7 linked regions of the Cricetulus griseus genome follow. The main gene of each other region encodes a partner of the protein of the gene in region 5 in a complex. Links are inferred from orthologs where the notes say so. Each region holds a gene or a part of one and is shown on either strand. Other genes may lie near its edges.

What was found.
Region 1: Actl6b (region 5) and Smarcd1 share a complex: the UniProt entries of both Homo sapiens proteins name them as parts of the BAF complex. The link is inferred for Cricetulus griseus from reciprocal best matches to the Homo sapiens genes ACTL6B and SMARCD1.
Region 2: Actl6b (region 5) and Smarcc1 share a complex: the UniProt entries of both Homo sapiens proteins name them as parts of the BAF complex. The link is inferred for Cricetulus griseus from reciprocal best matches to the Homo sapiens genes ACTL6B and SMARCC1.
Region 3: Actl6b (region 5) and Smarcc2 share a complex: the UniProt entries of both Homo sapiens proteins name them as parts of the BAF complex. The link is inferred for Cricetulus griseus from reciprocal best matches to the Homo sapiens genes ACTL6B and SMARCC2.
Region 4: Actl6b (region 5) and Smarcd3 share a complex: the UniProt entries of both Homo sapiens proteins name them as parts of the BAF complex. The link is inferred for Cricetulus griseus from reciprocal best matches to the Homo sapiens genes ACTL6B and SMARCD3.
Region 6: Actl6b (region 5) and zinc finger protein neuro-d4 share a complex: the UniProt entries of both Homo sapiens proteins name them as parts of the neuron-specific chromatin remodeling complex. The link is inferred for Cricetulus griseus from reciprocal best matches to the Homo sapiens genes ACTL6B and DPF1.
Region 7: Actl6b (region 5) and Dpf3 share a complex: the UniProt entries of both Homo sapiens proteins name them as parts of the BAF complex. The link is inferred for Cricetulus griseus from reciprocal best matches to the Homo sapiens genes ACTL6B and DPF3.

The regions. Positions count from the first base shown.
Region 1 is NC_048595.1:396,140,200-396,144,411, forward strand, and holds the start of Smarcd1 (SWI/SNF-related matrix-associated actin-dependent regulator of chromatin subfamily D member 1), read left to right. Parts: upstream 1-1,412; 5' UTR 1,413-1,595; coding exon 1,596-1,772; intron 1,773-1,964; exon of another isoform or gene 1,965-1,984; intron 1,985-2,380; coding exon 2,381-2,568; intron 2,569-2,847; coding exon 2,848-2,890; intron 2,891-2,989; coding exon 2,990-3,112; intron 3,113-3,558; coding exon 3,559-3,681; intron 3,682-4,212. UniProt on the Homo sapiens protein: Involved in transcriptional activation and repression of select genes by chromatin remodeling (alteration of DNA-nucleosome topology).
Region 2 is NC_048597.1:217,593,581-217,597,546, forward strand, and holds the start of Smarcc1 (SWI/SNF complex subunit SMARCC1), read left to right. Parts: upstream 1-1,166; 5' UTR 1,167-1,242; coding exon 1,243-1,434; intron 1,435-3,966. UniProt on the Homo sapiens protein: Involved in transcriptional activation and repression of select genes by chromatin remodeling (alteration of DNA-nucleosome topology).
Region 3 is NW_023276806.1:129,429,130-129,432,629, forward strand, and holds part of Smarcc2 (SWI/SNF complex subunit SMARCC2), read right to left. Parts: intron 3,301-3,500; coding exon 3,215-3,300; intron 2,469-3,214; coding exon 2,387-2,468; intron 2,293-2,386; coding exon 2,200-2,292; intron 624-2,199; coding exon 554-623; intron 325-553; coding exon 255-324; intron 1-254. UniProt on the Homo sapiens protein: Involved in transcriptional activation and repression of select genes by chromatin remodeling (alteration of DNA-nucleosome topology).
Region 4 is NC_048601.1:97,911,730-97,915,902, reverse strand, and holds the start of Smarcd3 (SWI/SNF-related matrix-associated actin-dependent regulator of chromatin subfamily D member 3), read right to left. Parts: upstream 2,801-4,173; 5' UTR 2,649-2,800; coding exon 2,571-2,648; intron 1-2,570. UniProt on the Homo sapiens protein: Involved in transcriptional activation and repression of select genes by chromatin remodeling (alteration of DNA-nucleosome topology).
Region 5 is NC_048597.1:116,471,933-116,476,111, reverse strand, and holds the start of Actl6b (actin-like protein 6B), read right to left. Parts: upstream 2,801-4,179; coding exon 2,776-2,800; intron 2,372-2,775; coding exon 2,295-2,371; intron 1,939-2,294; coding exon 1,773-1,938; intron 1,459-1,772; coding exon 1,358-1,458; intron 1-1,357. UniProt on the Homo sapiens protein: Involved in transcriptional activation and repression of select genes by chromatin remodeling (alteration of DNA-nucleosome topology).
Region 6 is NC_048602.1:6,521,092-6,525,179, reverse strand, and holds the start of zinc finger protein neuro-d4, read left to right. Parts: upstream 1-1,288; 5' UTR 1,289-1,386; coding exon 1,387-1,499; intron 1,500-1,798; exon of another isoform or gene 1,799-2,659; intron 2,660-2,886; coding exon 2,887-3,047; intron 3,048-3,148; coding exon 3,149-3,256; intron 3,257-4,088. UniProt on the Homo sapiens protein: May have an important role in developing neurons by participating in regulation of cell survival, possibly as a neurospecific transcription factor. Belongs to the neuron-specific chromatin remodeling complex (nBAF complex).
Region 7 is NC_048598.1:120,355,408-120,358,907, forward strand, and holds part of Dpf3 (zinc finger protein DPF3), read left to right. Parts: intron 1-1,773; coding exon 1,774-1,934; intron 1,935-3,500. UniProt on the Homo sapiens protein: Belongs to the neuron-specific chromatin remodeling complex (nBAF complex).

The sequences.
Region 1 (4,212 bases), on a different chromosome or scaffold from region 5:
AGGAATGGAGCTATGCTGGATGCTAAGCCAAGAGTGTTAGAGACAGAAGAGGCTGGGGATTGGTGACTCTTGCAGCTGGGGCAGTGGGTACCCACAGACAGAAGCGGAAGTCCTCATTCGGTGGCCTTTCTCTCCTCTGGGTGCCCAGTGCCCCTCCCTCACTTTGATAGCCAGGCCCACCACTTGTATTTTTTGGTGAGGCAGGGTTTGGTCATGTGAGGAAAGAGACAGGCCTAGAGGAGAAGTTGAGGGCTCTGCTGTTGTGTGTCCCTACCTTAAGGGACCACAAGTTGAAGAAGAGGGCCTCCCCACCCCTACCAGGCATTCTTCCCAGGCCAGAGCTCCAACCCTTTGCAGGACTTCTCTGACTGCACTGTCTGTCTCTTGGCCTCTAATCCCCAAAAAGGACTTGTGGACAGACCACCTGTGTGCGTTGGCCTGGAGCCAGAGAGTGGGGCTATAGCATCTCTGAGAACTCTTGGTTCTCTAGAGTTCTGTAGACAGCAGACTCCCCAGAAGGAAACAGGCACAAAGCTGAGAAGTATCCACTGGCTGGGGGACAGCAGGCGGGGCTCTGAGTGACGCATGCCTCTGGTCTAATAAACTGGGTTTCAACCATCTCCTCCTCAGTGTTGTTCTTTTTGGTTGAAGAGTTTATAAGGATTACCATTAGAATGCAGCCTGCCTTGAGGGCCATGTTGACTAGAGTAAGGAATTTGGGTAGTCCAGTGTGGTGGCTACACCTGTAATTCCAGCACTTAGGAGATGGAAGCAGGTATCTTTCATTACAGAGCGAGTGTACTACTAGGCTGGGCTACATGAGACCCTACATATTTGATCAGGTAAACACTGGTCCTCCTGGAAAAGGACAGGTTCAGGAATAGTTTGAATCACTGGGCAGTGAAAGAGCAATGAACAGCAACAGATTTCCAGGACCTTCGGAGAGGATTCATGGCCAAAATTCATTAATATCTGAAGGCAATGGTCTGAGATGAAGGGTGAAGTTCCCGCGTCGGAGAGTTATTGAGCCATTATCTGTGAAATGAAGCCGGGGCTACCAGCCAGGAGACCAGAATCTAGGATGGCTTTTCTTTTAATTTGCTGGTTTGTCTTTGCCAAGACATTTCCCTCCTTTGAGTTCAGCTTTTCCGTTTGTAAAACGAATAAACAGCACGTTTCTCTCTTTCGTACCCGGAGTTCGAGCAGTAGGAGAATGGAAAGCAAAGCAAACAGAATGCTTTGGAAAGGCAAAAGCACTGTGTTGAGATGACAGTGTCTCCAGCCTGCGGTGTGCGCTCGTCTCTTTCCAACGCCTTGTCGTCCTCCGCCCGCCTGGGGGCGCCCGCTCCCGTCACCTCTCTATCCGCACATCACTTCTCTATGGTGCCCCTCCTGTGCCGCGAAGGCGGGAGGGAGTGGTCAGCACGCCTTTTCCGCTAGTTGCCCCCTCTAGGCCTTAGTCTCGCTGCCCCGAGCCGCCCGTGCCCGCCGGCGGGCCGGGCCCACAAACAGCCCAGGCGCTCGGGGGGCGCGCGGGGGGCGGGGGGAGTTCCGGTTCCGGTTCTTTGTGCAGCTGCTGCGGCGGCTCCGGGAAGATGGCGGCCCGGGCGGGTTTCCAGTCTGTGGCTCCGAGCGGCGGCGCCGGAGCCTCGGGAGGGGCGGGCGTGGCGGCTGCTCTGGGCCCGGGCGGAACTCCCGGGCCTCCGGTGCGAATGGGCCCGGCGCCGGGTCAAGGGCTGTACCGCTCCCCGATGCCCGGGGCGGCCTATCCGGTGAGTGGGGCAGGAGGAGGGGCGCGTGGGCCGGGGGCGGGGCCGAGCGAGGGCGGAGAACTGACAGGGGTGAGGGAGAAGTGGGAGGGCCTCCCTTGGGAGGGGCTCGGGTCCTGGATGGAGGTGGGGGAAGCAATGCCGAGGAAGAGCGCGATTGGGGGAGGAGGTTAGCATCCTCACCTGCTCCCAGCGGCATTGTCTGCTTTTGAGGAGTGAGTGTGGAGCCAGGGTGGGTGAAGTGGGCCCGGAGGTGGGCAGCTCAGTGTCCAGAGGAACACTCAAGTTAGAGCTGCACGTTGAGGAGATAGTTAGCTGAGTAATAAAGTAAATGTAGAGATGTCTGGTGAGTCAGATCCCACATATTCCAGAAAATTTGAGTCTGATCTGGTTTTTAGACCCTATATTCTATGAAACCACTACCAGGCCTGAAGAAGGTCCAGTTACCGTATTTCAAAGAGGCAGAAAGAAGGCTGTGTGATTGTCCTCCACCCTACCTCCCCCACCCCCATCCTTGTTCATTCCAAAAATTCAGGCTTCCATCACTTTTCGTTTCTTGGTGGAGCTGTCAAGGAAAGGTATGACATCTCTGGGCCCTCTCCATTCTGTAGAGACCAGGCATGCTGCCAGGCAGCCGGATGACACCTCAGGGACCTTCCATGGGACCTCCTGGCTATGGGGGGAACCCTTCAGTCCGACCTGGCCTGGCCCAGTCAGGGATGGACCAGTCCCGCAAGAGACCTGCGCCTCAACAGATCCAGCAGGTCCAGCAGCAGGCGGTCCAAAATCGAAATCACAAGTAAGATGACGCCTGGGGTGAAGGAAAGAAGCTACTGGGAGACCTGTGAGGATTCAAGTGGTGGGAGTACTGAACCAGGAAGTGGTGGTGCTATGTCACCAAATGGTGCTGCAGAGACTCACCCTTGTGAAGGCTTCCTGGTGGAGGTGGAGAGGGAGTTGATGGTGATGAGAAAGCCGTTTTGCAGGCCTTAGCTGTGCCATCAACAAAGGTGCTGACAGCTTAGCTCATGTTCTGACAGTTCCATCCCACCCTGATAACAGTATTTATTCCGAACAGTGCAAAGAAAAAGAAGATGGCTGACAAAATCCTACCTCAAAGGGTGAGTGCAGGCTCTAGAGGTCTTCTTCTTGAAGATGTAGTGACTGAGAAAGTACAGGTGGTCAGCTCTAGGGCCCAATCGTATCTTTCTGTTCCTAAGATTCGGGAATTGGTACCAGAATCACAGGCCTATATGGATCTCCTGGCTTTTGAAAGGAAACTGGACCAGACTATTATGAGGAAACGGCTAGATATCCAGGAGGCTTTGAAACGTCCCATCAAGGTAACACAGGAAAGCACTGGGCAGTGGGTCAAGGGAGGGGACAGGAACCTTCTCCAGGCTTAGGATGAAAATTCAAAGGCACAGCATAGCCCTCCTTGGCATTTAAATTGCATCTTTCCCTTCCGCCTACAAACCAGGAATTACATTAGGAACATAAGAGTAGAGCAGCTGGCAGGGAAAGGGGCGGGGGAGCTTTTGATGTCTCTTGCACCAGAAATATACCCTGCCCATGTTTTTGCTATAACTACTTGCTACCTTGGGAACCTGCCACTTTGTATGGTTTTCTTCACCTGGTATCCCAGCATATTTATTTATGCTCAGGCTCAGGGCCTGTATTCTTCTAAGTGGAGTATTTATTCACCTATCATAAGCCAGCCTAGAAAACCTTTGTCTTTAACATCAAACTACTGAGGCTCCATCATCAATCCTGTTTCTGCCTTCCTCAGCAAAAACGGAAGCTGCGAATTTTCATTTCTAACACTTTCAATCCGGCTAAGTCAGATGCAGAGGATGGGGAAGGGACGGTGGCTTCCTGGGAGCTCCGGGTAGAAGGACGGCTCCTGGAGGATGTGAGTTGAAGGTCCACTGTGTTGGTGTTGTATTCAGGGTGGGAGCTCTTGGTGATGATCAATGTTGTATGGTCAGCAGGAAGCCTGACTGGTGCTTATAGGTCCTGCTGGGAGCTTCCGGAAGCAGAGGGGGGGTGGGGAGAGGGAGAAAGACCCTGTGTTCCCTGCACACAAAGACAATGGTCCTTTGTATCTGCTCCCACAGCTTCACTGGTATCAAATGGAAACCATTATTGTCCTGGGATCTGACTGGATGTTTACTCTGTCCTGGTGATGCTAGCCTTTGGATTTAGCAGCATCTGCAGATTACTTCTGTAGTCCCTCATCCCCACCTCCTGAGTCTATGCTTAGCATTTGAGGCCATGTTCCCTCTCTTAAGTCCTGGAAGTTATTTCTGTCTTCCCAGCTTTCATTGGAGATACCACAGTTTAAGTATGATAGAATTCTCCAAAGGCTTGGGCTCTTTGTTGCTCTAAGGGGAGTATCAGATCAGTGAGAGCCCCCACACTTCCCACCCAGCAGCTCCTTAGG
Region 2 (3,966 bases), about 100 Mb from region 5:
AACTGCCCATGAACTTGTAGCATCATCAGCGCTGATTATTGGCATGGGCCCCCACAATAAGCTCAGAATCCACATTTCCCCACATGACCCTGCATACTCACGGGATTGCTATCATCCTGATGTACACACCCCACCATGGCACTTCCTCAGTGGAAGTTTGCTTCCCAGTGAGTCCTTTAGGTAAAATCAACCTTACAGCTCTCACCGCGCACCTTGAAGTTTTCCACTGAGTAGTCTTCCTCACACTTAGTGCCTTTGTTTCAGTTGGGTCTCGAGTTACCCGTCTTTTCTAGTCACATTTTAAATGTATTTGTTTTGTTTCTCTAGCCTCGAACTCAAGAGACCCGCCTGCCTCTGGGATTAAAGGCGTGTGCCACTGTCGCCCAGCGGCTACTTGCACTCATTTTTAACAGGAGGGAGAGAAGTCATTAGACTTGCTCACTACTTAGAGCTCCAGGATCATACAGCATGGCGTTCACCTCTCCAGTACAGCCAGTCACATTTGCTTAATATTTCAAACTCTTTCGGCCTTCACGTGGACCACTCATTCATAAAATATTTACCGAACCTGTGTAGTCAAAACGCCGTTTCCCAACGCCGAGGATCTATCTACCTGGGAATAAAAACACCAGGTTGTGGCGAGAACTACCAAGAAACCGTCGGGTGGGTGTGATCAGCTTTTCAGTCAGGGACCGGTTTTCTGGGATATTTTCATGAATTTGAGAATGCCTCGAGTGCGAGTGTCAAAATGGAAGGAAATCTCGAGGCCGCAGAAACCAGCTGGTGTGGTTCGGGAGACACTAAAGAGAGTGAAGCCGTGCGAGGCCGACGTCGGACTGTGGGCAGGCGGGGGCGGCTCACTGGCGCTCAGGGCGGGCCCTAGGCTCGCACTGCACACCCGAGACGGCTCTCTTAGTAGTCGCTTGCCGACCGCCGATCGACCAGACAGACGCAGGAAGCCGGAGAGGAGTCTCCGGGACTCAGTCCTGAGAGGCGGGCGGAAGAGGCGGGGAGCGCCTCCAGCTGCAGGGGCGGCCAGCGTGCTGCGCATGCGTACGCCTGCTCTTCGCCCCCAGTCCGTTACCGCTCCGGTGCCTGGGAGGGGCGGGGCCGGGCCCGGACGCCGGAAGGGGGTTGGCTGGGCGGGGCTAGGAGGAGGCGGTGTGTCTGCGCGCGCGCGCGGGTGAGAACGGGAAACGCCGCGAGGGCCAGGCCGGGCGGTGGAGACGACGGACGGTGACCATGGCCGCGACAGCGGGCGGCGGTCCGGGAGCGGCAGCAGGCGCCGCGGGTGCAGGGGGTGCGGCGGCGGCCTCGGGCCTGGCCGTGTACCGGAGGAAGGACGGGGGCCCGGCCAGCAAGTTTTGGGAGAGCCCGGACACGGTGTCCCAGCTGGATTCGGTGCGAGTCTGGCTGGGCAAGCACTACAAGAAGGTGGGTTCGCGCGCGCGCGCCCGTGGGTACCGAGGAGCCACGCGACAGGAGCTGGCGGTGGCTGCGGGCCTCGCGAGCCTCGGGCCACCCCTCCCCCTCCCCCTCGCGCCACGAGGGACAACAAAGGCAGGCTCGCCTCTCGCCACGCCCCCGCGGGCGGCTCTGGGCACGCGGCGGGCCCGGCGCTCGCTGCGGGCTCTCCCGGGCCCACGCACTCGCGTGGGAAGCCCCAGCTCGCCCGCCGTTCCGTGCTTCTAGAAGCAGGTGGAGCCGGGCAGAGCCGCCGCAGGGCGTGTGTCCCCTGTCTTTTGTTAGCTTGCTTAGGTGTGTGAACAAAGAGACTGAGCCCAGCATAGTCAAAGTAGCTGCAAGTTTTGTTTAGAGATGAGTTTCTAAGTGGTTCCGTAACTAAGGGCTTGCTACCCGGTGTGGGTTCCCTAAGGGACCTGGCTTGGTTGTCTTGCGAGTTAATGTAGGTTTAAACTCAGCAATAGGAATGATACCGGACTATTAAAAGTATTTTTTTTTTTACTTTATTGTACTTTTTGTGATGCATGAAGATAGGAGTACAAGAGTTAACGTCTTTCGTCGAGAACTGTTTATGTCATGTATTCTTTGTAATTTTTTTTTAAATTCCCGTGTTTCTCCTACATTCTTTTATTTTTTTGTTTCTCCTACTTTCGAATGCTCATTTGGCTGAGTCAGTTGTTTACAAAGTTGTGAATTAACCAATTGGTATTTTTTAAAAAATTACATTTATTTATTTTTGAGGGGTGCATCCCACTCCTGTGTGGATGTCAACTTAAGCAAATTGGTTTTCGTCTAACACCACCTGGGTCCAGGAATCGAACTTAGGTCGTCGTCGTCAGGCTTGGTGATGAGTGCCTTTTTCCCCCCTTTTTAAAAAAGATTTATTTATTATGTACACATGTATGCATATGACAGAAGAGAGCACTAGGTCTCGTTAAGGATGGTTGTGAGCCGCCATGTGGTTGCTGGGAATTGAACTCAAGACCTCTGGAAGAGCAGTCAGTTCTCTAAACCTCTGAGCCATCTCTCCAGCCCCAAGTGCCTTTCTTTACCTGTGTATATTCACCTCACCGGTAGAGTAAAATTCCCCACTATGTAAATGTTAAAGAATGACTCTAAAACAATTCCTCCATTCCTCTCAAATTCAGTAGTGTTTACCCCATTGAGGACCAGGATTGATACGAGATTTGTTCTGGATTAGAGTTAACTGAACAGTTGTTGAATAAGTGTATGTTGAATGAATGAAAAGTTAAACTAGGACCTCGGGATTTAAATCGTTTTGTAGAATGTTTTGTAGAGTGTTCACTTAGTATGGGTTAGGTATAAGGTTTGAAACCCAGCACCTCATATGAACCACCACCTGTCATGGTGGTTGACATCTGCTACCTTTTGAGAGGTACAAGCATGAAGATCAGAAGTTCAAGGTCATCTGTCACATAGGGAGTTCGAAGATCAAGGCAAGCCTGGTGAACTGTTGGTATTTGACAGTGATGTTGGGTGTTTTCAGAAGTAACCCTGTCTCTAAGGCTTTAAAGTCAGAGAGTGTTGACTTATTTTAGCATTTCTCTCCCCTCTTCCCCTTCTTCAGGGTCTCACTATGTAGCTCTGGCTGTCCTAGAACTTAGGAGACCAGGCTGGCCTCAAATTTTCACAGATCTTCCTGCTTGTCTCCTGAGTGCTAGAATAGGCGTGAGCCATCACACTGGATTCATTAAGCATTTCTATTGTATTTAACAGTGTATTTAGAACATATAAATCAATGGTTTATTTCATTGTGTGTGTGACCTTCATGTGGGTGTCCACAGAAGCCAGAAGAGGGCATCTAATTCCTTGGAACTGGAGGTAAATGAAGTTGTAAGTGACATGGTGCAGGTGCTGGGAACTCCGCTCTGGTCTTTTGGAAGAGCAGCAAGCACTCTTACCTACTGAGCCATCTCTAGCACCAGACAGAACGTTCAGTCTCAGCAGTTAATATGAAACAAATGAGACTTTGAAGGTCTCTTTTCTTTTGAGGCCAGCTTGGCCTATATAAAACTTTAGAAAAACAAATGACCCAAAACCACTGTAGCTCAGAAGCCCCAGACCTTCCTTTGTAGCCTTTGATGGTCTTCAACGCCTTCCTGCTTCCATTTTTATAGTTGTGGGATTATGAGGATGAGTCACAATAGTGGGCTCAAATACAATTTTTCAGTTTATTTTTAGTTTGTGTGTGACTGTTTTGCCTGCATACATGTCTGTGTACCAAAGTGTGCCATATAAACCAGAAGGATCATTTGGGATCATCTGGAAGTGGAGTTGCCATTGGTTCTGAGCTCCCATGTGTGTGCTGGGAGTCAAACCTAGACACTCTGGAAGAGCAGCCATGCTCTTAAGTACTGAGTCCTCTCCCTCTCCAGCCCTAATACAGGTTTTGCATTTAATTCATTAATTATGCTTTCCTAGTGTCATGAAACTGTCTCCACCATCGGTTTGTCTTTTTCTTCCTTTTTTTTTTGTTTGTTT
Region 3 (3,500 bases), on a different chromosome or scaffold from region 5:
CACACAAAAGCCAGTTTACATACAAGCACCGAGGAAGCTGAGGTAAAAGGATTGCTACAAGTTTGAGGCCAGCCTGATCTACATAGCAAGTTCCGTGCCAGCCTGGATTACATAGCAAAATTCTGTATCCCACCCCCACCCCCCCAAAAAACAAATAATGAAATAAACACCCAGAACAGTGCCTTCTTGCTCTGCCAGACAGCTTCTGTGTCTGGTTGCTGCTTCTCCTGACGGCCCTGAGAACCCATCCTCACCTGTCAGGGTAGTAGCCCCAGTGCAGAAGAACTTGTTTGTCCCTCTTCATGACGGGTCGCACCCATTCCTCTGAGGATAGAGACAGAGAAGAGGGAGCAATAAGCTGAGGGAAACACAAGGACTAGACAAAGACTCTACCTAAGCACTCTGCTCTTCTAGCAGGAGACTCAATAACGGGAATCCATGGGATGAGGATTCAGGATTGCAATGCCCAGAGCCTCAGGTGTGTATGGTGAACTAAGTTGTCCTCCATCCACCAGCCCAAGCCATCATAGCAGAGAGGAAGACCCGGTCTCACCTTCTTCTAGGTTCCCTGGGACAGGATACACAACATGGGAGGCATTGCTTTTATCCTCAGTGATGGTTCCCTGGATAGCACAGGGAAAAGCAGGTAAACCTACTTCCTTTTGAGTTACTCTCAGGTATAAATATAAGAATTAAAATCTAAGCACAGACCTGCCCGTCTAACTACATCTTTCTTGCAATGGCATTACGTGGCAAAAAAACACAGTGGTAACGATGTGTTAGCATTGGGGAAAAGCCAACGAATTAAATATTACCACAGACAACCCTCTGTGTGGATGCGCTGCATAGTGGAGAGGTGTGTGTGGCGTACTGCCTGTGTGTGTGTGTGTCTGTGTGTGTGTGTGTGGCGTACTGCCTGTGTGTGTGTGTGTGTGTGTGTGTGTGTGGCGTGTGTGTGTGTGTGTGTGTGTGTGTGTGTGTGTGTGTGTTGTGTGTTGTGTGTGTGTGTGTGTGTGTGTGTGTGTGTGTCTGTGTGTGTGTTGTGTGTGTGTGTGTGTCTGTGTGTGTGTGTGTGTGTGTGTGTGTGTGTGTGTGTGTGTGTGTGTGTGTGTGTGTGTGTGTGTCTGTGTGTGTGTGTGTGTCTGTGTGTGTGTGAGTGTGTGTGTGTGTCTGTGTGTGTGTGTGTGTGTGAGTGAGTGTGTGTGTGTGTGTGTGTGTGTGGCGTACTGCCTGTGTGTGTGTGTGTGTGTGTGTGTGTGTGTGTGTGTGTGTGTAAGCTAGAGGTCAACTACAAGTGACCTCTAGCTTCTATTTTCCACCTTATTTTTTTAAGACAGTGAACCAGGAGCTTGACATTTCAGATTAGCTGGTTAACAAGTCCCCGGGATCTACCTGTTTCTACTTCCTAGCTCTCGAGTCATAGGTAGAAACTACAACACCCAGGTTTTACATGTGTTCTGAGGATCCAGACTCAGTTCTTCATACTTACATAAGAAACTGAAGTCATCGTCCCAGCCCTACCCACCAGAAATTTAAAGTGGACTCTGTGCCCATCCATAATATCCCACTTCTCATTAAAAAGTAGTTCCAGTAGGGTGGTGGTGGCTCATGTCTTTAACCCCAGCACTCAGAAGGCAAAGGCAGGTGGATCTCTGTGAGTTCAAGGTCAGTGTGGTCTACAAAGTCACACAAACCCTGTCTCGAAAAACCAAACCAAACAAACAAATAAAAAGCAGTTCCAAAGAAGAGAGATTTTGTTGTGGTTGTTTTAATAGCATCACTTTTATAGCTGAGGCAGGCCTGAATACACTATGTAGCCAAGGATGACTTGAACTGTTTTGATCCTCCTGCCTCCACTTCCTAAGTGCCAGGGCACATCATGGCACCTGATTGCAGGGTTATGTTTATCTGAAATTAGGTCTGTCTAGTTCAGTGGAAGACATTCTCCTTCATCCAGGCCAATATAGTGCCAAGGGGCAGTGATAAGTCTATCAAGCCTGGGGAACAGAGCTGACAAGCAGGACAAGTGCTGTTCAAAGTGTGAGTAGAGAGGGCCACAGCACAGGGGAGAACGTGGCACAAGTTGCTTCCTGATGGAAGACACATCAGTTGTGGAGAAACGCACTGTAACAGGGGTGACAATGCGTGAACCAGTCAGGAGTTCAGGAGCCTGACTTACCTGCCTCCCTTCACACTTACCTGATGCCTCTTAACAATGTCTTTTAATTTTCCCAGCAGCTTAGGCTCAATCTCTGGGCACAGGAAAATGTTAGGTCGAGACAGGCAATTATTCTGTGAGGAGGAGAAGTGGATGAGATGAGGAGAGACTGCTTTATATTCTTTCTGCGAAAAGGAAAATGGATGGGAGGAAGGGCTTGAACGTTACCTGTACCAAGGACTTCTCAATGGTCATGAACATTTCTACATTGCGGTCCATGCGAGACGGATTCTGGAAATCGTAACGCCGCCTTGTAAAGGGATGATAATCTAGTAAGTTATAGTTTGTGTGAGGGCACAGGACTCATTTATGTTTTTATTTTATGTATATGGATGTTTCGCCATGTTTGTAAGCACCATGTAAATGCAATGCCTGAGGAGGCCGTAAGAGGTCATTGGATCTCCTGTAACTGGGTTACAGAGGGTTGTGAGCAGCCATGTGGGAGCAGGACCACATCTTCTGCAAGAGCAGCCAGTGCTTTAACCATTGAGCCATGTCTTTAGCCCCAAGGGTACATAACTTGTTTTTTTGTTTTTGTTTTTTTGGTTTTTCAGGATAGAGTTTCTCTGTGTAACAGTCCCAGCTATTCCTGGAACATACTCTGTAGACCAGGCTGGCCTCAAACTCACAGAGATCCACCTGTCTCTGCCTTCTGAGTACAGGGATTAAAGGCTTGTGCCACCAACTCCCAGCTTGGTACAGAACTTCTTAACAATTAGGAGGTAATATTGTCACAAATTTTGCCCAAGTCACAACTGCATGATTCACTCTATGTGTTAAATCAAAAGGACAAAGTTTGAGATGCCAACCTAAAAACCCTCTTCCCAGACACACTGGTTCTTGGGGACTGTTCTGGCTATGCCATCTATTTTTCTGATCTATCAAAATAAAAGACACATAGGATTTCTAATGCGTCCTCTGGCTTCAGAAGGACCCCAGGAAACACTGGGAATTTTCTTTAAACTAAACATGAACAGCAGAGAGAAGGCATCTCACCATCCCTGGTCACTCTTGAATTTGTAGGCAGCTGCCAGAATGTGGCACAGGGATCCTCCTGCTTTGAAATCTAGGAAACATTTGATCTACAAAATAGAGACCAGGAAGAAGTGTGAGTTACATTGTAAATAAAAACCTGCCACAAAAATCCCACTCTGAACTCATCTCCTTCTCAAATGTTTTGTTTTGTTTTGTTTGTTTTTTTGAAACAGGGTTTCTCTGTGTCTTTGGAGGCTGTCCTGAACTAGCTCTTGTAGACCAGGTTGGCCTCGAACTCACAAGAAAT
Region 4 (4,173 bases), on a different chromosome or scaffold from region 5:
TGGGAGTGATTGTGGGAGGGGCGGGGGCGCGGGAATCTGCGTGGCTCTGGAGGAGGGGGCTCGCCGGCTCCTTGCAGGAAGCTAACTGAAGCCAGGCAATTGCCCAGGGCATAGCCGAGCCTCGGAGCCGTGCAAGGTACCGCAAAAATGAATATTAATGGCGCCTTTCAACCTTTCAAAGGATGTTCACATCGGCAGGCACGGTCTTCTGCAAGCCAGCCAGAGCCGGTCTTTTTTATCCCCAATTGACAGATGGGGCAACTGGGGCTCAAAGAGAAAAAGCGACCTCGCCAAGGTCACCCCGTTCATCCCGACAAAGGCAGCACCTTGACGGGCCTTGCTCCCCGCTGCTTTCCTGCTTTCTACAGCCCACTTCTGGGGCTTTGTATGTGAGCCCCCATCTCCCTTTCAGCACCCCTGGTTTGGACCCTTGGTGTTCAAATAACCCCTTCAGCTGACTCCAGGTCTCTGACTTAGTCTGCCTCCTTAATTTCATTTCTCCCAAGGTGATACAAGAGGCTGGGCAAAGGCACCCGAGGGTCTGAGCTTTTCCGAGTGGCAAGTGGGGAACTGGACTAGAAGTGGGCTGCCAGAGGGCAGGGATGGTTGAAGGAAGCCACATCTCCCTCCCATCTGCCTACATCAGAGAGAGAACCCAGTACCCACCCCATCCTAGTAAGGGTACAAATTGGAGGGAAATGAGGCAGGTTGTATTTCCCCAGCCACCACCTCTGGGCAGTCAATCAAAACAGAAGAGGTGTAAACGCAAGCGGGGTGTTCCAGAGTCCACTTGTCCAGGCCTGGAAAGGGAGTTGAGGTTTAGGGGCTAACCAGGAACAAGGAGGTGATGTGGGGGTGCAGACCCTACTATTTACACACCCTCATCTCAGGCTAGGGATGTAGCTTGGTGTAGTGCTTGCCCAATACATGTGAAGCCCAGGGTTCGATTCCCAGCACCAAAGAAACTGCACTTGTAATCCCAATCTCAAGGTGGGGACAGAAAGAGCAAGACCATCTTCCCTTATATAGTGAGTTCGAGGCCTAGGCTACAGGAGACCCTGCCTCAATACACAATAAACAAATACAAAATACTCCTCATCTCACCCCAGAACCAAGAAACCCCGACTGCTCAGACCAAAGGTCTCCACCCTCTACCACCCTCTACCAGCAGCTGTCCCTGGCCATCTCTTCTGTAGTGTAACCGGCCAGTTCCTGAGTTTGCCTCCCCCATTCCACCTGACTCTGTCACTCATACCACCAGTGCCACCAGGGTGGAAGGCCAGGCCTAGTCATTCCCCACTACTAATAAGGGGGCCTTGATCACTCAAGGACTGACCCTCCAAGTTGGCCATATTCAAATCCACATGGGCAGCCTCCTCTTCACTGAATGGGACTCTGTAAAGCAACTCCCCCAGGCAGCTAGGTTAGGACTGGTAACTCCACTAACCCACAGGACTGCCTTGGGAACTGCACCCCAGAGATCCCTGTGGCTAGAGGGCAGGCTGCCACAGGGAAGCCCTCCTCCCTATCAGCTGCCCTGCTACTCATCAAGGCCACCCACACTGTCTGGTTTACTGAGAGGAAGGGGCTTCCAGGGGCTCTGCCACCAGCACCACAATCACAAGAGGTCAAGGTTTTGGGGGCCCTTGCCTCTTTCACTGAGGAGGTGCTTCTTGGAGTCACAACCAAATTTGGCCATAGTAAATTTGACTGATTTTTCCCTCTATCACATATCCCCAAGCCTGGAGCGCCTTACAGCCAGGCTCTCCACTGACTCAACCCAGTCATCTCCCTCCTCAGGTCCCTGGAACCCTCAGGTCCCTCGTGTGCCTTCACATGTCTGTGGCAGGACACTATAGTGTTAACCCTTTGATCTCTAGGCCTCATGTCCCCAACTCCATCCCTTCACACCTTTGAGGTATTAAGGTCATCAACTTCTGGTGGCTGAGCCTGCCAAGGGATCCCCTGACCCCTTTAACTTGGGGTCCATCTCTTAAGTAGGCCTCTCTTAGCTCTGACAGCAGGGCCAAGTCCTCAGGACCCTCCTGCTAGGCTGCAGAGGTTGCTCAGCCAGGGAGCTTTTGCTCTCAGGTGCCTCCAGGGTCACCTGCTCCTAGTTCCTCAGACCCAGTCAGAGTGACACTGCCCCTGTGGATGAACAGGACAACAGGCAGCCCAACCCTAGTTGTGTGTTCCAGTCGCCACCCCACCCCCACCCCAGGGCAGGGGTAACACCTGGGCCCACCAGTAAAAAAGAACGGGCGACGTGTCAGCTACAGAGGGGACCCACCTCTTGGGGGGCACGGTGCCCACATCCCACCCCTTGCCCCTGACAAGAGCCCAAGCCGACGCCTCTCTTCCCTGCCGCCGCGCGCCCATCCCCAGCCGACCGCTTGGCGACGTGTTCGGATGCCAGGGCGCCGGCAAGGTCCCAGGGTTGGGCCGTGACCGTGCGCCCCCCAACCAAAGGGGTGGGAGAGCGGGAGCGCGCCGGCGGCCCTTCCCGATCATCCCTCCATTCAGCCCGAGCCAGCTCGCTCGCCCTCCCCCGCTAACTTTCCCCCACTCACCACCCCATGGACCAGAAACTCAAAAAGTTTGCTTTTCGTGGCTTTGCGCGCCCCTCCGGCAACTTCGTCCGCGGCCATCGGGGTGGGCTCAGCGGCTCCTCTCACTCTCTCTCTCTTCCTCTTTCTTTCCCTTTTCTGCCTTTTTTTCCTCCAACTCTCCCCTCTGAGTCCTGCTGGGCTCTCTCACACTTCTACTCGAGCGGAGTGGGGAGGGGGCCCCTTCAGGGCTGCCCTGACGGCCCACGGCCCAAGCCGCCGCCGCCCGCCCGCCGCCGCCGCCCGCCGCCGCCGCCGCGGCTGCCGCATTCCTGCACTGATAAGACAGAAATAGTCCGGCGGCCCGGGGTCTGCCTGCGACGCGCGGGGACACAGCAGCCCTCCCGTGCACCCGCGTGGTCCAAACGGCGCAGAGACGCGGCGAGCCAGGCCGGTCCGCCCAGCGGCTGCGAGGCGGGCAGCGAGCGCCCAGGCCGCCGGAGGCTCGCCGGTGGCGGCACGGGGAGGGACAGTCTAGGGAGGGGACGGGGGGGGGCTTGCCCGCCACCCTGCCTTCTTTCTCCACAAACAGTTTCTCGGTTGGGGAATTCGCCGGCAGGGCCAGGCAGAGAACGGGCAGTTCCAACTTTCTTCCCCCAAGTGGCTCCTGCAGCATTTCTGAGGCCCTTTCCCCAGGGACCGGGCAGGCCAAGTAGGGAAACATTTGCTGGAAGGAATCCGGGGGCGGGGGGGCGGGCGAGCCGGGAGCGGGCCTTGCAGCCGTCCAGGGCCGGCCGCCGTGGGTGTGCCCGTGCCTCGCGCTCCGCGTGTCTGCACCCTTTTGTGGCTCGGCGCAGCGGCCGAGGGTGTGGATGTTTATGTGCGGGCACCGGTGTGCTCCCTCCACGGGAGCCGCCGTGCCTGCGCGTGCGAGCGTGCGAGCGTGCGTGCGCGCGGGGCAGGACACGGCCTGTGCCTTCCAGCTCGGAGGGAGGCTATTTCTGGGCTCGTGAGTCTTTGTTTGCCTCTGTGTGGGAAAGTGAGGGCAACCGGGGAAAGTCTTTCCGAAAAGGGGACATGGACTGGGCTCCTGAGCACAGGAAGAGTGAGTGTGGGGAATCGTGCCGAGCCGGGATGCGTACTTGGGTGGGTAAGGAGGAAAGAGTGAGCAAACAAGGTTTGGTGGCTCTGGCATGGAGACCCAGGGGGGCTGGGGGGCTGAGGTCCGCTCCAGGACCGAAGAGAAAGCAGGAGTGTGGAGTGGGAGAGGATGAGGGAGCCCCGGAAAGGACCGTAGGGAGAGAACTGGCCGACCCCCGAGTGGAGGGAGAACAGAAAGGAGATCCCTAGGCTGAGCTCAGGCCCCGCCCATGCCAGAAGCCACGCCTGTTCCCACCTTCTGGAGGAGGAGCCCGCAGGCTTTGGGACAACTAAGGGTCACACTTATGGGCTTCCTGGGACGGCAGCTGTCAGAACTAGGATGAGGGAGGGACAAGGCCTGAGGGAATTTGTGGGAACACATTAAAATTTGAGCCCTCAGGACCCAGCATTGCACGGAGGGGGCCTAACCTTTGGCCCTGCAGAATGTCTTCATTGGCCAGGACAAGCAACAGAGGGAATGTTCTCC
Region 5 (4,179 bases):
GAGCTAAGTGGTTGCTGAAGGATCTGCTCCATGAAAACAAAGGTGTGAATCAGGAAAAGGAGTCAAGTCATAGATGCACCCACTTTTCTTAGAAGAAAAACAAGGAGATTCTGCTAGGTAATGCTGAAGAAAGATGTTAGTATAACAGCTATTTCCCAAATTTAAGCCAAAGTGGAATGTGTCAGTGGCCTCCGAGAGGGATTTTTTCAGTAACACTAAATTAATAGAATATATCATGGAATTAGTGTCTTGAGAAAATACATAGATATCTGATGGGTAACTTAGGATTACATTGATAAATAGAAAAATTAAGTAAAATAGAAACAATTCTTAGATCTGGGGAAGACAAAAGTTGCATGAGAATGAAAAAATAACCATGCCCGAATCAGCTCTTACTAGCCTGTAAGATATAAAAGAGTATAAACTCAGATTTTTTTTTTTTTAAATTGACACAGGTTTCTCTGTGTACCAGCTCTAGCTGTCCTGACACTTGCTCTGTAGACCAGGTTGGCCTTGAACTCACAGAGCTTCCCCTGCCTCTGCCTCCTAAGTGCTGGGATTAAAGGCGTGTGATACCACCACCCAGCTAGGGCTAAGGCTTCTGAGAGAGACTCATGCTCCCATAGATAGTCTCACACCTGTGTACACAGAGATGGTACTAAGTGGGCAGCACTAAGTGAACCCAGTCTGTCACTAAGTGGACCTAGTCTGTTTTGCTTGCTTGTTTGTTTTTTAAAGGACATGAATTTGGGAGACAGAAGGTAGGAGAAATTAGGGGAGAACTGATGAGAGAGACGTGGTATATTTAATAAAAAACATTATAGGCATGTATGAAATTCTCAACAACAAAAAAGATATATGAGGAGATAGGTATTTTGTTTTTGTTTTTGAAACTGAGTCTCTCTTTGTAGTCCTGGCTGTCCTGAAACTCATTATGTAGTTGAAGATGACCTTGAATTGCTGGTCCTCCTGCCTCTACCTCGAGTGCTGGGATTACAGGCTTAACCTTTCTTCCTTCAGTAGTGGGGGCTGAACCCGAAGCCTCGTACATTCCAGGCAAGCACTCTACCAAGTGAGCTACATTAGTAGGGTTTGTTTATATAACACTGACCAAAAAGTTAAGTATATGTGAACAACAATAGGCAATGGAGTGGATGGAGCTAGAAGAGAGAAGGCAGAGATGGAGAGTAAGCCAGGGAGTAAGACATGTACGTGGTTGAAGACGACAGGGTGAGAAGGAAGATTCTGGAAAAGAAGGCGGAGTGACTGAGAGTGGTATCTCCAAGTTAGAGGTGATGGTGGAAAGGATGTGTCACCAGGGACCCCGGGCCGATGCGGGTCTGGATGAGGCACTCACCGGAGCCTCCGACATGAGTACTGGGTGCAGATTTGGCTCGGACTTGACATGTTTGCTGTAGGTATGATCCAGGATGGCTCTGAAGCACTCCCAGTCCTCAACTGGGACATAGGGCCAGCGTTGAGAGGCAGATAGGACGGTGGGAAGGAAGGCAAGGGTCAGAGACAGGAAGTAAGGGAGGGAGGGAGGCCGAGTCTGGAGGAGCTGAATCCAACATCAGCTGACAAGTACCCCCTCCCTTAAGTTCCAGAATTCTAGGGGGTTCTGGTCTGAGATCCCTGTAGGGAGCAGTGAGGAGGTTCTTGGGGCTTGGGCAGCATCAAATCAGACTCTGTGGATGTGGAGATCTGTGTCCACACGTGGGAGGGGGGAGCTCCGAGTCTGTTTCAGAAAGTGGTGTATGGGGGCCCCTTACTCATGCCGTTCTTGAGGGGCGACATGACTTCCGCTCCATCCCGAGGCACGTGCAGGGCATTGGTGTCGATGTGGAAAATCTTCCCTTTCTTCTCTTTCTCCCCCTCCAGCTCCAGCCCACCCCCCTCTTCTGCGGCCAGCAGCCCCACAGTGGTGGGGAAGTCAGCCTGGTAATGAGGAACAGGAATGGGGAGTCGGGTTACTCCCTCCTGTTTTGGAGATAGGATCTCACTATGAAGTCCCCAGCTGGCCCAGCACTCTTTGTAGACCAGGCTGGTCTCGAACTTACAGAAAACCGAATGTCTCTGCCTCCAGAGGGCTGGGATTAAAGGAATGTGCCACCATGCCCAGCTGGATCCCTTGTCCAACTGCACTCAAGACCCTCGGCCACCCCTGGGCTTCCTCCCCTGTCTGCACTCAGGTGAGCTACTTGCATTGAACTGTGCAAGCCTGTTCATAGGCCGACCCACCTGGCAGAGGGTATCCCAGCCCCAGGGAATTGGGGAGGGACTGGAAGGCTCACCTTGGGGCAGTCCTCCCCAGCGTACCCAGCTCGAACTGAGAAGGAGCCAATGTCAAAGACGAGCGCCCCCACCTCATCTGTACAAGGAGACAGGTGTGTGAGGAGACCTCTCCCAAACTGTCCCCCTAAATAGCTTGGAGAGGAGTCTGGGGGTACAGCCACAGTTTGAACTTCAGCATGGAGCAGGTGGGAGATCCACCTGGACTTCAGGGCGCCCTGGAAGTGGAGGGTCAAAGCCACCATAGTTCCCTCTTGCCTAGTGGCCTGGCAGGGGAAGGACGTTCCAGGGGCTGGGAGGCAGTGCACGCTTGGGAACCCCAGGAGGGGTGGAAAGCAGAAGTCGTGGGAGACCCAAACCTCAGGCTGGACCTGATGCAGCACGGAGGTGACAGGCCCAGGGATGCTCAGGGCTCGGGACGCGCGGGTTCGGGATGCAGGGCTGCAGACCAGGCCGAGAGCCCGGTGCCCCAGGCCGGCTCACCTCCGCCGTAGACGCCCCCGCTCATAGTGCCCTCTCTACGCGGCTGGCTCGCGGCCCGTGGGCGGCGGCGGGATCAGCACCGAGGTGGCCGGACAGCTCCCGGGATCCCGGGCGGGGCGGGGCGCAGCGGCGACCAATCAGGAGGCTGCATTCCCCGCCCCCAACGGCGCGGCCGATTGGTTACAAAGAGAGACAATAACCCGGCTGGGGGCCGCCGCTTTAAAGGGGCAGCGGCTTCTTTATGCCGAGGTTGGGAGGGAGTAGGGTTCCACTGCAAGAACCCTAGAGGCGGGCTCAAGACACAGACAGTAGGGAAGAGAAGCAGATTCGAACTCCACAGGGTGACGGATGGGATGGGATCCCCTGATTTCGTGCCCCCCCACCCCGTTTCCTTAGTGTTCTTTATTTTTTAATTTTTAAAAAATGCAATTGAAGGAGAGGTCGCAGAACAGTCCACCCCCAGACTCCCGAGCCAGTCTAAATGCAGAGAAATGGGAGGATAGGGAGAGGGACCAGAGAAGTATGTCTCTCCGTCTCTCCATCTATCCCCGACTTTCCGCCTTTGTCTTTGGGCTTATTCATTTATTTTGTAGGCCAGGCTGGCCTCAAACTCACGGAGAACCACCTGTCTCTGCCTCAGGTACCATAACAACTGGTTTATTTTCTTTTATCTGGGGCAGGGTCTTGTGTAGCAAGGGGTAGGCTCAAACTCACTATGTATCTGAGGGTGAGTGTCTTAGAGCTTGTGGTCTCCCCACCTCCACTTCCAGAGTGCTAGGATTACAAAGTCTATGCCAACACCCAGTTTGTGACGCTCAGGAGAGGGAGCCCAGGGCTTCACTCTTATTAGACATGAACTCTGCCAACTGAACCATGTCTCCAACTCCTTCTCTTTCATTTTTCTTCTCTTTCTTTCTTTCCTTTTTTTTCGAGACAGGGTTTCTATGTGTAGCTTTGGAGCCTATCCTGGCACTCGCTTTGGAGACCAGGCTGTCCTCGAACTCACAGAGATCCGCCTGCCTCTGCCTCCTGAGTGCTGGGATTAAAGGCATGCGCCACCAAAGCCCTGCTGTCTTTCATTTTTTCTAATGGCTGCTTTTCCTTCCTCCATTTCCCAGATCCTTGACCTTGTACATAACATGTAATATAACATGTGTGTGCACATGTTTACATGGAGGCACTAGGCTAACCCAGCAAGCCTTTTTTAATTGTTTCTTTTATTTTTGATATTCTAATACATTACATCATCACCTCTCTTTGCCCCCCTTCAAATCCATGGCCTCTTTTTTTTTGTATGTATATACATATATATTCCTAAATATAACCAATTTGGTCTGTATGTGACTTGTATGTACCTTTTCAGGCCCTGGAGAAGTGTAGTGGCAGATGCCTATCTTTCCAGCA
Region 6 (4,088 bases), on a different chromosome or scaffold from region 5:
GAAATCTTGAGTCTTAGCCCGGTGGGTGGAACACCCCCTGCTGGACAACGGGGTATTTGTATTAACACTTGATATGCTAATTTATGCAGCCACTCAAATCAGAGTGCTAAGTTATTCCCCAGAGGGTGTGTGTGTGTGTGTGTGTGTGTGTGTGTGTGTGAGAGAGAGAGAGAGAGAGAGAGAGAGAGAGAGAGAGAGAGAGAGAGAGAGAGAGGGAGAGAGAGAGACTCGGTAGGTCAGCTCTTCGCTGGGGTTCTGTTAGGAGGATAGGGTGTGTGGATGCCGAGGGAGAAGAGTGGAAGGGACCAGGTGAATGAATCTTTCGTCTTTCAGTGCTACCTTCAGACAGCAGTCAGGGGCAGAGAACAGGTAAGGTTTCTCCTCCAGATCTCAAAGTCCTCGTCTGGAAAATAAGGACAGTAATAGTTTAGTCTGGGGAGAGCTGTGTTAAGCAAATGTTAAGTAACCACTCAACGTATATTTGTTGGACACCTACTAGGGCGGGCAGGCATTATTCTTTCTAGAGCGGCGTAACCACTTTATGCCTTGGTACGTGTCAGATCCTCTTTGTAGATGTCTTCTCTGTGGAATAAATGGATTTATTAGTACTTGCCAGGTACTATTTCTTCATGTGGGACTGCGATTGAACCCATGGGCTCTCGATCACTTTCTTTTACCAGAACCACCCCCAAGCCCTGCTATGTATCTTTGAAAACACTTTACAGCGACTGGTGTGGTTTCACACACCTCAGGGAGGCAGAGGCAGGAGAACTATAGTTTGAGGCCAGCTTGAGCTGGACAGTAGGATTCTGTCACGAAAGCAGCCACTTACCCTGTCACTCATCTACTCTTCAGTCCGATGAGGTGTTATAACTATTTTCTAAAGGAGGAGACAGGCCCAGAAAGGTTAAGTCATGTGCCCGAGGTCCTATCAGCGAGGATCTGAGCCCGGGAAGGATGACGACAGTCCTGTAGTCCTGCGGAGGAGTGGACCCGGGTGACCGACCGCGACAGTCAGCCCTGGGACACGATGGGTGCTCCAGAGTTTGGAGGGCATGGTGGGAGAGGTGGCGTCAACTCCGGCATGCTGGTGACACGGCTGGGTGGGCACTGGCGAGGTCTGGGCGCCTGTGGCGGGGCGTGAGTGAAGGTGGGGTGTGTGAGAGCCTGCGAGCCGAGCGTGGCTGTGTGTAAGCGGCCACGTGCGCGTGTGTGCGTGCATGCGTCTGTGCACGTGGGACCGGGGACTGCGTGATCCTCCATCCCCCGGTGCCCCGGGTTAGAGGACCCGCGGGGGGACTACCACTCCCGGCATGGCCCGGGCGCCCCGCCCCGCCGTCCTGATTGGCTGAGATCCGCGTGCTCCCGCCCCCCGGGAATGAATGGATGGGCGGCCTCAGCGCCCGCCCGACCGCTGGGAGGACCGACCCGGCAGGGACCTGCTGGGGGCAGGACCCGGGGAGCAAGATGGCCACGGTCATCCCCGGCCCCCTGAGGTGGTGCGGGCGGGCGAGCGGGCGAGCGGGGCGAGTGGGAGGCGGGGGCGGGTCTGCGCGGCCGCGCGCGCGCGCGTGTGCGTGTCTCTGTGTGTGTGTGTGTGTGTGTGTGTGTGTGTGTGTGTGTGTGTGTGTGTGTGGCCGCTGGGGGTGGGGCCGGTGGGGTGTCAGGGGGCTGTCACCGTGTGCGAGCGAGCGAGCGGGGGTGCGAGCGTGTGTGACTGCGGGTGTCTGGCAAGGGTGATGTCCGGGGCGGGTGCAGGGCGTGGGGGAGGGGTCCCCCAGGGCTTCCAGGGGACGGGGGTCATGTCCCCTCCCGGGGATGCCACGGTCTGCAAGAGGGGGAAGCGGCGTAGGGAACCTGAGTACACGCGAGTCGAGCCCACGCTACCTTTGTCTTGGGGCGTGGAGTGTGTTGTGCGACTTGTGCGTTGCTTTTTTGTTTTGTTTTCTGGCCGGATGTGTGGGTATGTGCGTATGGTTGTCTCTTTTATTCTGCACGGTGCCCATCTGGGCATTCGGGTCCCCTCCGAGTGTGTGCGCGCGCGTCTGCTGAGGCTGCACCCTCGAGGCTGCGTCTTTGCACGGGGAGGTGTGAGGCTGGGTGCGAGCACGGGCGGACCTGGCTGTCCCTCCGTCTCCGAGGCGTGTACCTGTGCTTGGGAATGCGCTTCGAGTTTGGGGTCGCGTTTCCCCCCGGGTGTGAGCGTGCGCGCGTGTGACTGCGTGGTCTCTTTGTATCGTGTGTTTGACACCCCGTGTCTTTGGAGAGAGGTGTGTGGGCAAGCCGCTTTGGACACCGTGCGACTGTTGCGACGTTTGCGCGTAGTACGTTGCCACGCCGGGGGGCTTTGTGGACAATGTGTTTATCTTGGGGGTCTCTGGATGCGTGGCGTGCAGAGGTAGTTTTATGGCCTGTTTCTGACCCCAGTCTGTGTGTCTGTGTGTCTGTGTGTGTGTGAATGTGTTTGCTTCTCCTTTGTGAATTTTGGGATATGTTTCCCTTTGTGTGTGAATCCCGTGTGGCCATGTGCGATTTGTTTGTTTTGGGTGTTTGGCTACGTTCGTGTGTGCATGGGTCCCGCTGCTGCTGCTGCTGCTGCTGCTGCGTTTCGCTCTGTGAACACACTTCTTACTTAACCTGAGACATAATCAAGTTCCAGGTAGCGGCCTCCCAGCCAGCCAGCCAGCCAGCCAGCACCCCGCCCCGCCCCCGGGTCCCCAGGGATGGGAGGAGGAGGAGGGGGAGGGGGCCCTGGCTGGTTCGCCCTTTGCGGACCGGCGGCGGCGGGAACGGGAGGCCCGGGGCGTGGGGGGGGGGGTGGTGGTGGAGGGTGCTGGACCTCCCTGGCTGACAGCCGCTCGCCCGCTGCTCGCCCGCCCCCCTCAGCCTCGGCGAGGACTTCTACCGGGAGGCCATCGAGCACTGCCGCAGCTACAACGCGCGCCTGTGCGCCGAGCGCAGCCTGCGCCTGCCCTTTCTCGACTCGCAGACCGGCGTGGCCCAGAACAACTGCTACATCTGGATGGAGAAGACCCACCGCGGGCCTGGTACCCGCCGCGAGGCTGGGGCGGGGCGGGGCCTGCGTCCCGGGGCCGCACGCTCACTGCCGCCCTCCCTCCCTCTCCCTCCATCCCTCCCTCTCCTCCAGGTCTGGCCCCAGGACAGATCTACACTTACCCCGCCCGCTGTTGGAGGAAGAAACGGAGACTCAACATCCTGGAGGACCCCAGGCTGCGGCCCTGCGAGTACAAGATCGGTGGGTGGAGCTGTGGCCCCTGCGCCCGCTGTGGCCCCCATCGAAGTCCTCAGCCCCACTGCTGTCAGCCAGAATGTAGCCTTTATTTCCCCTGGGTGTCTCCACAACAGGCTATCTGTGTCGTCGTCGTCCCCCCCCTCCCCGTGTCTTGAGTTACTTCCTTTGAGTTTCTGAGCTTCCAGATGTACCTGCTGTGTGGGCCGTGGCGAGCAGGTGTACGGAGGACATCCTTTTATCTGTGTCTAGATAGATAACTGTGTGCGCTCCCCTGTGAGCCGGGGTACGCCCATGTCCCGCTGTGTTTCTTTCTGTGGGTGCTGGAGGGCATCTGGCTATCTCCCTGTGTGTTTGGATGACTTAGTAGTGTTTCTCAACCTGTGTTTTGGGGTTGCGTATCCGGTATCCTGTATACCAGGCATTTACATTACGATTCATAAGGGTAGCAAAATTAAAGTTATGAAGTAGCCACGAAATAATTTTGTGGTTGGGGGGTCATTACAACATGAGGAACTGTATTAAAGGGTCACAGCGTTGGGAAAGTTGAGAACCACTGAGTTGAGTGTCTCATTGTAACTGTTGCTGAGTGTTTTAGAATGCCTGTTTCTTTCTAGGTGTTTCCAAGTGTGTGTGTGTGTGTGTGTGTGTGTGTGTGTGTGTGTGTGTGCTGGGACTGTGTATATCTACCTCTTCTGGGGGTATATATGGTTCCACCAGAATGTCCTGCTGGGGTCCTGATGCTGAGAAATTGCTATGGAGATTTTCGGCTTGTTTCTGTGTTAGGTGCTTCTTGAGGTGTGTGCTAGTTCATAGACTGACTGGAGTTAGTGCTTTC
Region 7 (3,500 bases), on a different chromosome or scaffold from region 5:
TAAAGTTAAAAGATCCTTAGTAGAATCTGACCTATTGACTTAAAAAAAAGAATAGGAAAGCCTGCTTTAAGCCTTGCTGTGTAGCAAGCAGTAGAGGAATGTGATTAGAACCCTGTGTAATGCTGGTAGGATTGTGAAATGGCTGAGCCACTGTGAAAAACAGTACGGTAGTTCTTAAAAAAAAAAGAAAGGAAAGAAGGAGGGAAGAAAAGCAGAATTTCTATATGGGCCACCAAATCCACTCTTGGGCCTGAACTCAAAGTAATTGAAAGTAGAGACTTGATACTTTATGCCCCTATGTCTACAGGGTATTGTGATGTATTTTCTAAAAAGAGTGTAGTTATCATATTCACAGTGACTAGAGCATGAAAGCAATCCAAGTATCTACTGACTGATGAACTGATAAGCACAGTATGGAATATAACACAGTCTAAAACGGAAGGACATCCTGACACACATCACAGCACAGATGAACCTAGAGTGCCATAACATGCTAAGTGCAACATGCTGGCCTCAAGAGAGCTAAATTGTATGAAATACTTGGTTCACTGATTGACTCTGTTTAAAACCAGGATGGTTTTCTATTTGTATCTTCTTTGAATTGTTCTGAGTTCAAGTATTATTATTATTATTATTATTATTGTTGTTGTTGTTGTTATTATATAATTATTATTATTAATCTTGACCTGATTAAGCATCTCTCTCTCTCTCTCTCTCTCTCTCTCTCTCTCTCTCTCTCTCTCTCTCTCTGTGTGTGTGTGTATGATGTATGTATGTGTGTGTATAAATGCTACATATATGTGCTTGCATGTGGAGGTCAGAAAACGACGTTAAATCTCCTGGAGCTGGAGTTACAGGAGGTTGTGAGCTGCCTGACTGGATGCTGGTAACCAAACTCAGGTCCCCTGGAAGATCAGCTGAGCCTTCTCTCCAGTCTCACTGTTTTAATTTTTATTAATTAAATTTATTGTGTGGAAATTTTATACACATAATACATTTGGATGACCACATCTACCTCCCTTATAGCTCACCCACCGGCATTGACCTCCCCCTTTCCATACAACTCCTTGTCTCACAATCATGTCTTTTTGTTTTGTTTTGTGCCCTACTGTGTTTAAGCAGGACTGTGCGACCATGGGTGTGGGACTATGCACTAATGGGCTCCCTGTGGGGGCTCTGCCTTCTGTAACTCTCCCTCAGCAATTCCTAAGTGGGAGGGGGAGGCAGACATTTTAAATACTTCTCTTGCTTGATTTTGATCAGAGAAAGTTCTTTTCCTTTAACTGTGGGTTTAGAAGATCCTTGCTTCTTACAATGAATGGCTGAACTGCCTGTATAGTCTTGGTCTATCCTAAATGCTTCTCTGTCATAATAGGAATCTGGGTGTGTTTTGGCAACTTCTGAGAACCAAGTGTGGAGGTGCACAAAGCGGGGGCTCTGGCAGCTGGATGTTTTGTAAGTCCTATGCAGAACACTGCCATGGAACCACCTCCAGGGGCCTGCCACTTCTCAGCCTCCCAGGACAGGGCTGGTCACCTTTACTGATGGTTTGCTCTTTGGGCTTTATTTTAAAGGAGTTTCTAAGTGACTTGGTAGATATGGGACAGGACATGGAATCTGGTAGAGAGTTGATGACAAATGGGGCTCCTGGTGCTCATTGGCTTGGTTGCCATAACTGTGGCTTCTTCCTGGGGACAGGGTAGGGGACTGCTTCCCTCTGGTGGTGTTTCTACTTTCCCTGGTCTCACTCCTTTGCTGTCTTGTCTCCTGTAGGCTTGGGGATCAGTTCTACAAGGAAGCCATTGAGCATTGCCGGAGCTACAACTCCCGGTTGTGTGCAGAGCGGAGTGTGCGTCTCCCCTTCCTGGACTCGCAGACTGGGGTGGCCCAGAACAATTGCTATATCTGGATGGAGAAGAGGCACCGAGGCCCAGGTGAGCCAGGCCACTGCTGGGACCAGCATGAGTTTGGATGAAAAAGTCCTGTTGTGTCCGGGAGTCCACACAACTGGGTAGGGTGGGGGTCACAGATGGATGAGGTGTTTATCTGGAAGAGTCCAGTGAAAGCAGTTTTCATTTTTCACCCTTGGGTGTTGGCTAGAATCTGCAAATGTGCTTACCTGTGGGAATACAGCTTAGTTTTGTCATCAGAACTCTGTCCCCGAGGCTTGTCATCTCTGAAGTGTGGATAATCTCAGTATTTACTACACAGAGTTTATTGGGATTAAATGACAATATCTACAAACAACTCAATATGTATATGCTCTAAAATGCTGGATATTATTGCTGTCATGACCATGACTGTAATCTTGGATTCTTGGAATAGAATAAAAACTCACTGGTATAGATTAGGGAGACAGCTAGCTCTAGAAATGCAGTTTTCTGTGGTCATACTTATTTAAAAATGTAATTTTGTGTGCATGTGTATATACACACATATGTGTGTATACCCATCCATGTGTGTGTGTATATGGGATGTGTGTATGTGTGTGGGGGATGTGTGTATGTGTGTGTGGGTTACATGTGTGCATGCAAGTATCTTCCTTAATTAGTTGCTCGTCATCTTGCATTTTGAGTCAGGTTCTCTCACTTTTACCCAGAGCTTGCTATTCAGCTCAGCTGGCCAGTCAGTGAGTCCCAGGGGTCTGCCTATTTTTTTCCTTTCCAGCACCAGGATTAAAAATGTGTGCATTTACATGGATTCTGAGGATTGAACTCAGATTCTGTGCTTTCATAGTAAATACCTTACTGACCAAGCCATCTCTGTAGCCTCTGGTTTATTGTTTTTTTTCCTTATGTTTGATAGGGTCTCACATAGCCTAGGCTGACCTCAAACTTGCTATGGAGCCAAACCAAACTTGCTATGATCTTGACCTCTTCCTGGTCCTCTTGCCTCTATCTCTTAGGTACCGAGATTAAAGGCATATGCCACCACACCTGGCTCTGTATGAGTATTTTAAACAAACTTCTGTTTGGAAAAGTTTCATATTCGTGTAAAACTTGGATAATGGCAGAGAAAACTGAAATCCTCATGGTCAAGTTCCACAACAGTCGCTTATGGCCAATCATTACACTCATACTTAGCTGTTAACTTTCTCCCTGACTCTGGATGACGTTGAAGTAGACCTGGGACAACACATCATTTCATGTATAAATACTATGGACTTAAAATGTCAAATCATTTGGGTGCAGTGGGACATGCCTGCAATCACAGTATTTAGGAAGCTGAGACAAGAGGGTTGCAAGTTGGAGGCCAGCCTGGGATACATGACAAGATTTTACCTGGAAAGATAAAGGAAATAACCAATCCATCTCACAACTGCTATCAAATCATGTAGTCGGCACCCATTTCTCCTTCTGCCTCTAGTGTAAACCAGGCTCCAAATAGGATTCTACGTTGCAACTGGTTGATGTGCCTCTTAGAAATCTGCAGGCTTTTCTCTGACACACTCTCTCCCTTGTATGTTATTTGTTGAAAAAACTGGGTTGTTTGCACCGTAG